2 linked regions of the Sus scrofa genome follow. The protein of the gene in region 2 purifies or fractionates together with the protein of the main gene of each other region. This does not show direct contact. Links are inferred from orthologs where the notes say so. Each region holds a gene or a part of one and is shown on either strand. Other genes may lie near its edges.

Region 1 (3,646 bases), on a different chromosome or scaffold from region 2:
GCTGGGAAGCTTTCTAAGGCTCTGGGTGATCCTTGAAAGCCTTAGCCATGTACCAGGCTATGGTCATGCACTGGACACTGAGGTGGTTGAGATTTTTACCTCCATGGTCACTTTGTGGGGGCTTCAAGGTATATGTCCTGGAGAGCTCTTTTCCTGGTTGAAGGAAATAAAGGGTGATGATTTCTTCCTGAGAGTGACAGTAAGCCCGGGGGGCGGGGAGGGGGGGCGGTTGTGCCAGATGCTGCTCCTCAGGAATTTGAATTTCTTATCTCCAGGCTCTACCCTGAGGAACACTCAGCCCTGGATGATGGAGGCCTGGGCATTTTTAATCTGATGCACCATCAGTATGGAGAATTGTTCAGTTGTGCCCTTTGCGATCACCTAGTTACATTATTCCCACTTTCCAGAGGCGGGACTAGGCAGCCAGAGAGGGAACTCGTTCCGGATCTCCGCTAGAAAGAGCAGGGACTGAGATCGGAGCCCAGGCCCAGGCGGGCTGACTCCAGGGCCCACCCCTGTAAGGTGGGTGCTGGGAGGCGAGGCGGGGCGTGGCAGTTGTTATCCAGGCTCCCCAAGGAACGCCTTCAGGACTGCTTGAGGGCCGAGCCCCCACGATGCCAGCTCTGTGTAATACAACCACTTGAAGAGCTCCCTGATGGCACAGCAGGTTAAGGATCCTGCGTTGTCACTGCTGCGACCCGGGTTCGATCTCTGGCCTGGGAACTTCCACAGGCCGGGCAGGCTGGGCCAAATACTTTGAAAATTAAAATCGAGCGTGTTGACAGCCTGGCTCGGGCCGCCTCCCTCCACACGCCGGCCCCGCCCTCCGCCGCCACACTTCCGGCGAGGCTGCGGCCGCGGAGGGGCGCCGGCGGGCGGCCGCTGGGGGTGGCGGGATAGGCTGGGCGCGGCCGGCGGTGCGGGCCCGCTGCTGCTGTCCAGGTCTCGGCGGCCCCCCGAGGGCCCTCCGTCCCTCCGGCGCCATGGGCAATTGCCACACGGTGGGGCCCAACGAGGCGCTGGTGGTTTCAGGTGAGGGGGCGGCGGGGGAGGGGGGCCGGAGACGTTTGGGGCGGGGGGCCGTGCCCGGGAGGGCGGGGACCGGGCTGGGCAGCGGACGGGGAGGGGCTCCGCGGGTGGGGGGCAGCGCGGGAGGTGGGGCCTGAGTCCGCGGCTTCCCGGGCCGCACCTGAGACCCTTTCAGGAGGGACCCCTGTGCTCCACCTTCCTGCCCCGCGTTCTCGGGCACTCGCCGGGCTCTCCCCCCGCCTTCCCCCGCTGCGTGTTTGCCGGTGTTTATTCCCTCCTTCCTTCGTCTCCTCCCCTAGCAGGGTCGCCCCTGTGGCCTAGGGGGTCCTGAACTGAAGCCTTGGGGTTCCGGGAACACAGTTTGGCTGGATGCCAGCGCCCGGGACTAGGGTGGGTCACGCAGCCTTGGAAGGCAGGTGCCCATCTGGGCACAGACCCGTTAATTCCCAGCAGGCTGGGGCGTGCTGGTTTATTGGCACTGCCCGCCTGGGAAACGCGGGTGCGGCCTCTACAGGTTGCGAAACCGGGCTCTGGGCTGTGTCGCTCAGGTTGCAAAATGCTGCAGGCTCCAGAATTTCTGTGAGCTTAGGTGGGGCCGGGGGACTGCAGTATTGGGGAGATGAGAGGGATCTTGTCCTAAGGCTGCTGTGTATGTTGTATATTTGGGAATTTGAGGAAGAGGCTGGAGCCTTTCAAGCCATCAATTTGTGCAGCCCAAGCTCACAGGTGCTGGGGAGAGGGCCTGTTTCCTGACAGCTTGGAGGCCTGTAGCTGCAGGAATCCCTCCTGTCTTTACTTCCCACTGTCAGTGTGGATTCTCCGCCTGTGCACAGAGTCGTTAGGGCTGGCTCTAGAATTGAGCAGAAGAGGGTGTGCTGGGCCAGGGCAGGAAGCTGTCCACCTTTGAGAGGTGTGATGAATCCATTGGAAACTTTCACCCCAGAACATGGCCTCTGGCTCAGTGTGGATCTCAAAATTGATTTCCCTGGGACAGGAAATCCCCACTCTCCCTCACTAAGACCTTACCCCTGTGGGGGAATTTAAGATTCTTTACCTCCCTGAAAACCAGAGCTAGCCGTAAGGTCACTAGGGAGACCCCCAGAGAGCACTGAGGCCAAACCTACACCTCTGTAAGACCTGGGCCAGGGGTTCCCGCCTGCCTTGGTGCAATGGGTCAAGAATGCCACCCAAGTCGCTGTGGAGGCACAGGTTAGAGCCCCATCCAGGCACAGTGGGTTTAAGGATCCAGCATTGCTGCAGCTGTGGCATAGGTCGCAGCTGTGACTTGGATTCAATCCCTGGCCAGAGAACTTCCATATGCCTTGGGTACAGCCATAAAAACAAAAACAAAAGACCTGGGCCAGTCTCCCAGCCCCCACCCCTAGAGAAGCTTGTAGAAACCCCAATCTGAGCCACACTGCACTTGGTTTTGCTTGTGGAGTTTCTTTCTAGAAGCCCAGACTCTGGGCCAAGGAGACAAAATCTCCGCTCTCGTCCTTGTAGAGACCCTTGAGACTGGAGGCAGGAGGAAACCCTGCACTGTGCCTTCCAGTTGCCAGGAACCTGGTCCCCTGGCCAGTGGCCAAAGCAGGGCTGGCTTAGAAGCTGTTTTAATGGTGTGGAGAGGAGGCGTGCTGAGAATTAAGAGTGCTGGAGTCAAGGGAGGGTGGAAGAGAAGAGAGAGAGATAATGCCCGGCATAATAGAACCTTGGGATTTGACATAATCATGCTAAGATGCAGCTCCCTTGTACTCGTGGCCTCCCTGCCCTGCCCCCACCTGGTTACCTGAGCCTGCCTCTAAGTCCAGGGGTATCTCACACAGCCCACTTTCAGAAGGAGGATGCTGATACAGTTCACCATTATCTTTTTCACTTGAAAAGTCTGGAGGTTTGGGAGTTCCCATCGTGGTGCAGTGGTTAACGAATCCAACTAGGAACCATGAGGTTGTGGGTTCGATCCCTGACCTCACTCAGTGGGTTAAGGGTCTGGCGTTGCCGTGAGCTGTGGTGTAGGTCACAGGCGCAGTTTGGATCCCGTGTTGCTCTGGCTCTGGTGTAGGCCGGTGGCTACCCCTAGCCTGGGAACCTCCATATGCCAAGCGCACAGCCCAAGAAATGGCAAAAAGGCAAAAAAAAAAAAAAAAGGTTCTTCTTGTCTAACTTCCCTCCTTAATTATGTAATACAAAACCTTTTCCTCTGTTTCTACTCTTGGGAATTTAAAAGGAGAATCTAAATACCATACACCTTTCTCTCATCTCCACAGTAGATCAGAAGTTCTTAACCTGGGGTTTGTAGAAAGAATTTAGAGATCTTTGGATTGGGGGGAGTACATTTTTATTGACACTAACTTTAACGGAAATTTAGTGTTTCTTATGATTATTAATGTCAACAACAATCCTCGGTAGTATTAGCAAATATTTTCCTACTGTACTGCCTTTGTTGCTTTGTTGTAGTTACCTTAAAAATCATTTTCGAGGAGTTCTTGTTGTGGTGCAGTGGAAACGAGTCTGACTAGTAATCATGAGGATGCAGGTTCAATCCCTGACCTTGCTCAGTGGGTTAAGGATCCTGTGTTGCTGTGGCTCTGGTGTAGGCCAGCAGCTGTAGCTCCAATTT
Region 2 (3,746 bases):
GACAACTTCCTACTGTCCGTTCAATCCCAAGCTACTTCTCTTCTTTGCAGGAAGCCCAATCTGACTCTAACGTAACTCGACCTTGAGCAAGGCATTTCCTCAGGTGTAAAAGGGGTTGGACCTCAGTCATCTGTCTCCTTGCTCTAGTACTGCACGAATTTACAGCTGAAGTCTATTGTAGGAAATGGCGCAGTACTCCAGCATCCTCAATTCCTCTAGGGCAGCGCTTCTCAAATGAATGTGTGCACAGATCACCTGGGGAGCTTATTAAAACACAGAGTCAGACGCCAAAGATCTGGGGCGGGGTCTGAGTGTCTGCATTTCTGACAAGCTCCCAGGCGAGTCCCAAGATGCTGGTCTACTGACCACACTTGATCGGGGCTCTTGGATACCTTTATTAACCCCTTTGCCACCTGAAAAATGACTTCCCCTGCCTCAATATATCTTTACCTACTTTTAGCCTAGCATCTGTATGACTACTGTGATTGTTTCTTGATCCATTTGTTTCTCCACTTGACTCTGAACTCCCTCAGGGCATCATTGCACCTTCTAGCACCTAAGCACAGTGCAATTTCAACCAATTACTCAAGACTGAATTTTACCAAGCAGTGCAGCACACAGGCTCTAGAATCAAACTGCTTGTTTTGAAGCGCCACCATTTATCATCTCTGTAATTTTTGCACAAGCTTCCTAGCAGTGTGTGTCTCAATTTCTTCATCTTTCAAAGGCAATAATAACAATAATATCTGCCTCACTGGTAGGACTGAATTATATAATACCTGTAAAGTGCTTAGTTCAGCGCCTGGCACACCGTAGGCACTTAATAAATGTTGACTATTATTATCGTTATCATTAAAGGTTGGAGTTTTTGAGAAGCTATCACAGAACAGAGGAGCCTGGGGAACATGACAACTAAATGTAATACAATACCCTGGATTGATTCCTGGAACAGAAAGAAGACATTAATGGGAAAACTGGTGAAATTCAAAGAAAAGCTAGACTTTAGTTACTAGTAATGTGCCACTGGCAGTTTCTTAGTTGTGACATTACACCGCAGTAATGTAAGATGCTACCAGTGGGGGAACCTGGGGGGAGAGGTATACAGTAATTCTCTGTACTATCTTTGCAGCCTTTCTGTAAATCTAAAATTTCACAACAAAAATTTAATAAAGCTGAATTTCTGTCAGACAAATGTCATAATACACATATGTAAAAAGTAATTTTAATAATTGGATCCTTTTAATTATATATAATAAATAGGACAAAAGGTTTTGTCTTGAAAACAATTGGCGCTTTGAAGGAAGTCACATTTCGTTTTCTACTTTAGTCCTGAAGATGGAAAGTAATCTAGCAAAGAAAGGAATAAAGGTCAACTCTGAATTTGTTCCCTTCATTCAAGTTCTTAAATACCTACAGTGGAGAACACTGTGCTAGGCATGAAATTACAGAAATAAACAAAATATACATTGTCTCTGTCCTCATGGGTTCTATAGGTTAGGAAAGAGGTCAGCAAACTGTTCCTGTAAAGGACCAGATATTATTATCTGTTGCAACTACTCAACTTTGCCCTTAGTGAGCGGCCAGACAATACCCAAATGAATGGGTGTGGCTGTGTGCCCATAAAACTTCACTGATGGACAGTGAAACCTGGATTTTATATAACTGTCATGGATCATAAAATGATATTCCTTTGTTTTTTCCAAAACAAATTAAAAGTCTAAAAGCATTCTTAGCTCCCTGCAAAAACAGGAGGGAGGCCGCATTTGGCCCACATGCCAGAGATGGCTAGCTCCTGGTCTAGGAGAGAAGACCTCAAAACAGATCAACCGTCTCAAGACTGCACTGCATCCTCTGCTGGACTCCAGGTTTCTTCTTGACCTCACAATTGTATGCGTATGATAAAGTACTTTTACTTTTTTTTTTTTTCACTTAAACTTCCCTATCGCTCTTTGACATAGACAGGGCACGAATTAAAATCCACCTCAATGAAACTTCAGGGAAGGGATATGATGTGCCCAAGGTCACGGATTTAGTGGTAAAGCAAGTTTTTAAGAACCAGCCTTCCAATCCCCCAGTTCAGTGCTCTTCGCCCTGGATCACAGTGCCTCCCTGAGGCAAATGGTCACCTAACTTCTCAGTGTGCCTGGACAGCCCAGGAGTGCCCAAGATGTTGTCCATCTAGTTGTCATGGGGCCGTGAGCATCCGAGATCCTCAGTCTGACACTTTGTCTGATCAGCCCCACGCTGGATCTGACATCACTTGTTTCGAATTCTCGGATAGACTTCCTCTCTGCCCATCCTGCAGCCCGCCGGTCCCGTGCTGAGCCCTCTCCCCAACACCCCCTTCCAATCCTGCTGCAATCCCAGGTGCCCCACTCTCCTCTAACTCACACTGAAAGCCTTGCACCGGGGAGCCCTGTACTGCTTCTCACACTCACCCCAAAGTCTAAGGTCTCAAATGACCGTTCCCGGGACACTCGGTCCGACACTCCCTTCAGGGGTGCGCCCACACGTTGCCCCCGGAGTCCCGCACGGGAGCGGTCCCCGTCCCCCAGGCACTTACGCTGCGCAGCGGAAAACGCCGCGTGGGCTAGGGCGAAGAGGCCGATGCCCACCAGCCCCTTCCAGAGCGACGGCGCCATGACTCCGAAGGAGCAGCAGCCCAACAAAGAAGCGAAGGGCGGCGGAGCCGTTCCTTCCTCCACCGGCGGGTGTCCGCGCAGCGCGGAGAGATGACGTCACTGAACCCCTGGGCGCGAAGTGCCTGAGAGGTGGGAAAAGCTAAGAGCCATGAGAAAGCGGAAACAGGAATGCCGGGAAGAAGGAGAAAGCGACACGGAAAAAGGTCCGCGAGTGGCGAGGAGCCGGGCCTGCGCCGGGCTGCCGCTCTGCGAGGGGCGGAGCTGAGCAGAGGGCATCAAAGAGGAGGCGAGAGCGAATCAATGGGGAAGCGGAGAAGATGGGCGCCAGCAAATGAGCGCGCGCCGTGGGGCAGGGGGCGGGGCCTGCGGGGAGTTCCGGGCTGGGCAAAGGAATTGGGGCACTGGGGGCTGGTGTTAAAGGTGGTCTGTGCTGGCTCCCTACCCCTGGGCAGGGGGAGGTTGTTTGTTTGTTTTGCTTTTCCCTTGTCAAGCTGCGTTCTTTGTTTTCTGTCGACCTTTCCTGTATTTCAGCCTTCTGGCAACCGGCACTGCGGAAGGAGGCAAGGGTGTGAAAGCGAGGTGGCGGGTGGGATGTAGAGGAAAACCACCCTGGATTTGGAGCCCCAAATAAGTGGTAGGCCGGGGGGAGGGTAAAAGTTAGTTTCCTTCTAAGTGTCCGTACCTTCCCGCCCAAAGTGTAGCCCAGCGGGACGTTCTGTCATGAAGAGAACCAGTTTACATAAGGGAGAAATGAAATGGGAAGAATAAAAGGATGCTAACAACACAGGCCAATCTTCTGCCTCTGTGATCAGAATAAAATATACTCTCCTTTCTCGATATGTGTGTGTGTGTGTATTTGGTCTTCAGCCCATAAAATACAGACAATTTGATATCGGAACTTCATACACCTAAGAGAAAAGTTATATTCCTTATGCTTCTTTAGAAATGACTAGTTTAAAATTGAATAGCTTAGAGCCCTTCCTGTGCTTCTCCCTGGCTTAATTGCACTCTTTTTTTTTTTTTTGTCTTTTTGCTATTTCTTTGGGCCGCTCTCACGGCATATGGAGGTTCCCAGGCTAGGGGTCGAATCGGAGCTGTAGCCAC

What was found.
Region 1: the proteins of MMGT1 (region 2) and FLOT2 purify together in Homo sapiens (affinity purification with mass spectrometry; 3 studies listed by BioGRID and IntAct, with this or other methods). This does not show direct contact. The link is inferred for Sus scrofa from reciprocal best matches to the Homo sapiens genes MMGT1 and FLOT2.

The regions. Positions count from the first base shown.
Region 1 is NC_010454.4:45,117,691-45,121,336, reverse strand, and holds the start of FLOT2 (flotillin-2), read left to right. Parts: upstream 1-833; 5' UTR 834-983; coding exon 984-1,032; intron 1,033-3,646. UniProt on the Homo sapiens protein: May act as a scaffolding protein within caveolar membranes, functionally participating in formation of caveolae or caveolae-like vesicles. May be involved in epidermal cell adhesion and epidermal structure and function.
Region 2 is NC_010461.5:111,155,593-111,159,338, forward strand, and holds the start of MMGT1 (membrane magnesium transporter 1 precursor), read right to left. Parts: upstream 2,707-3,746; 5' UTR 2,643-2,706; coding exon 2,564-2,642; intron 1-2,563. UniProt on the Homo sapiens protein: Part of the endoplasmic reticulum membrane protein complex (EMC) that enables the energy-independent insertion into endoplasmic reticulum membranes of newly synthesized membrane proteins.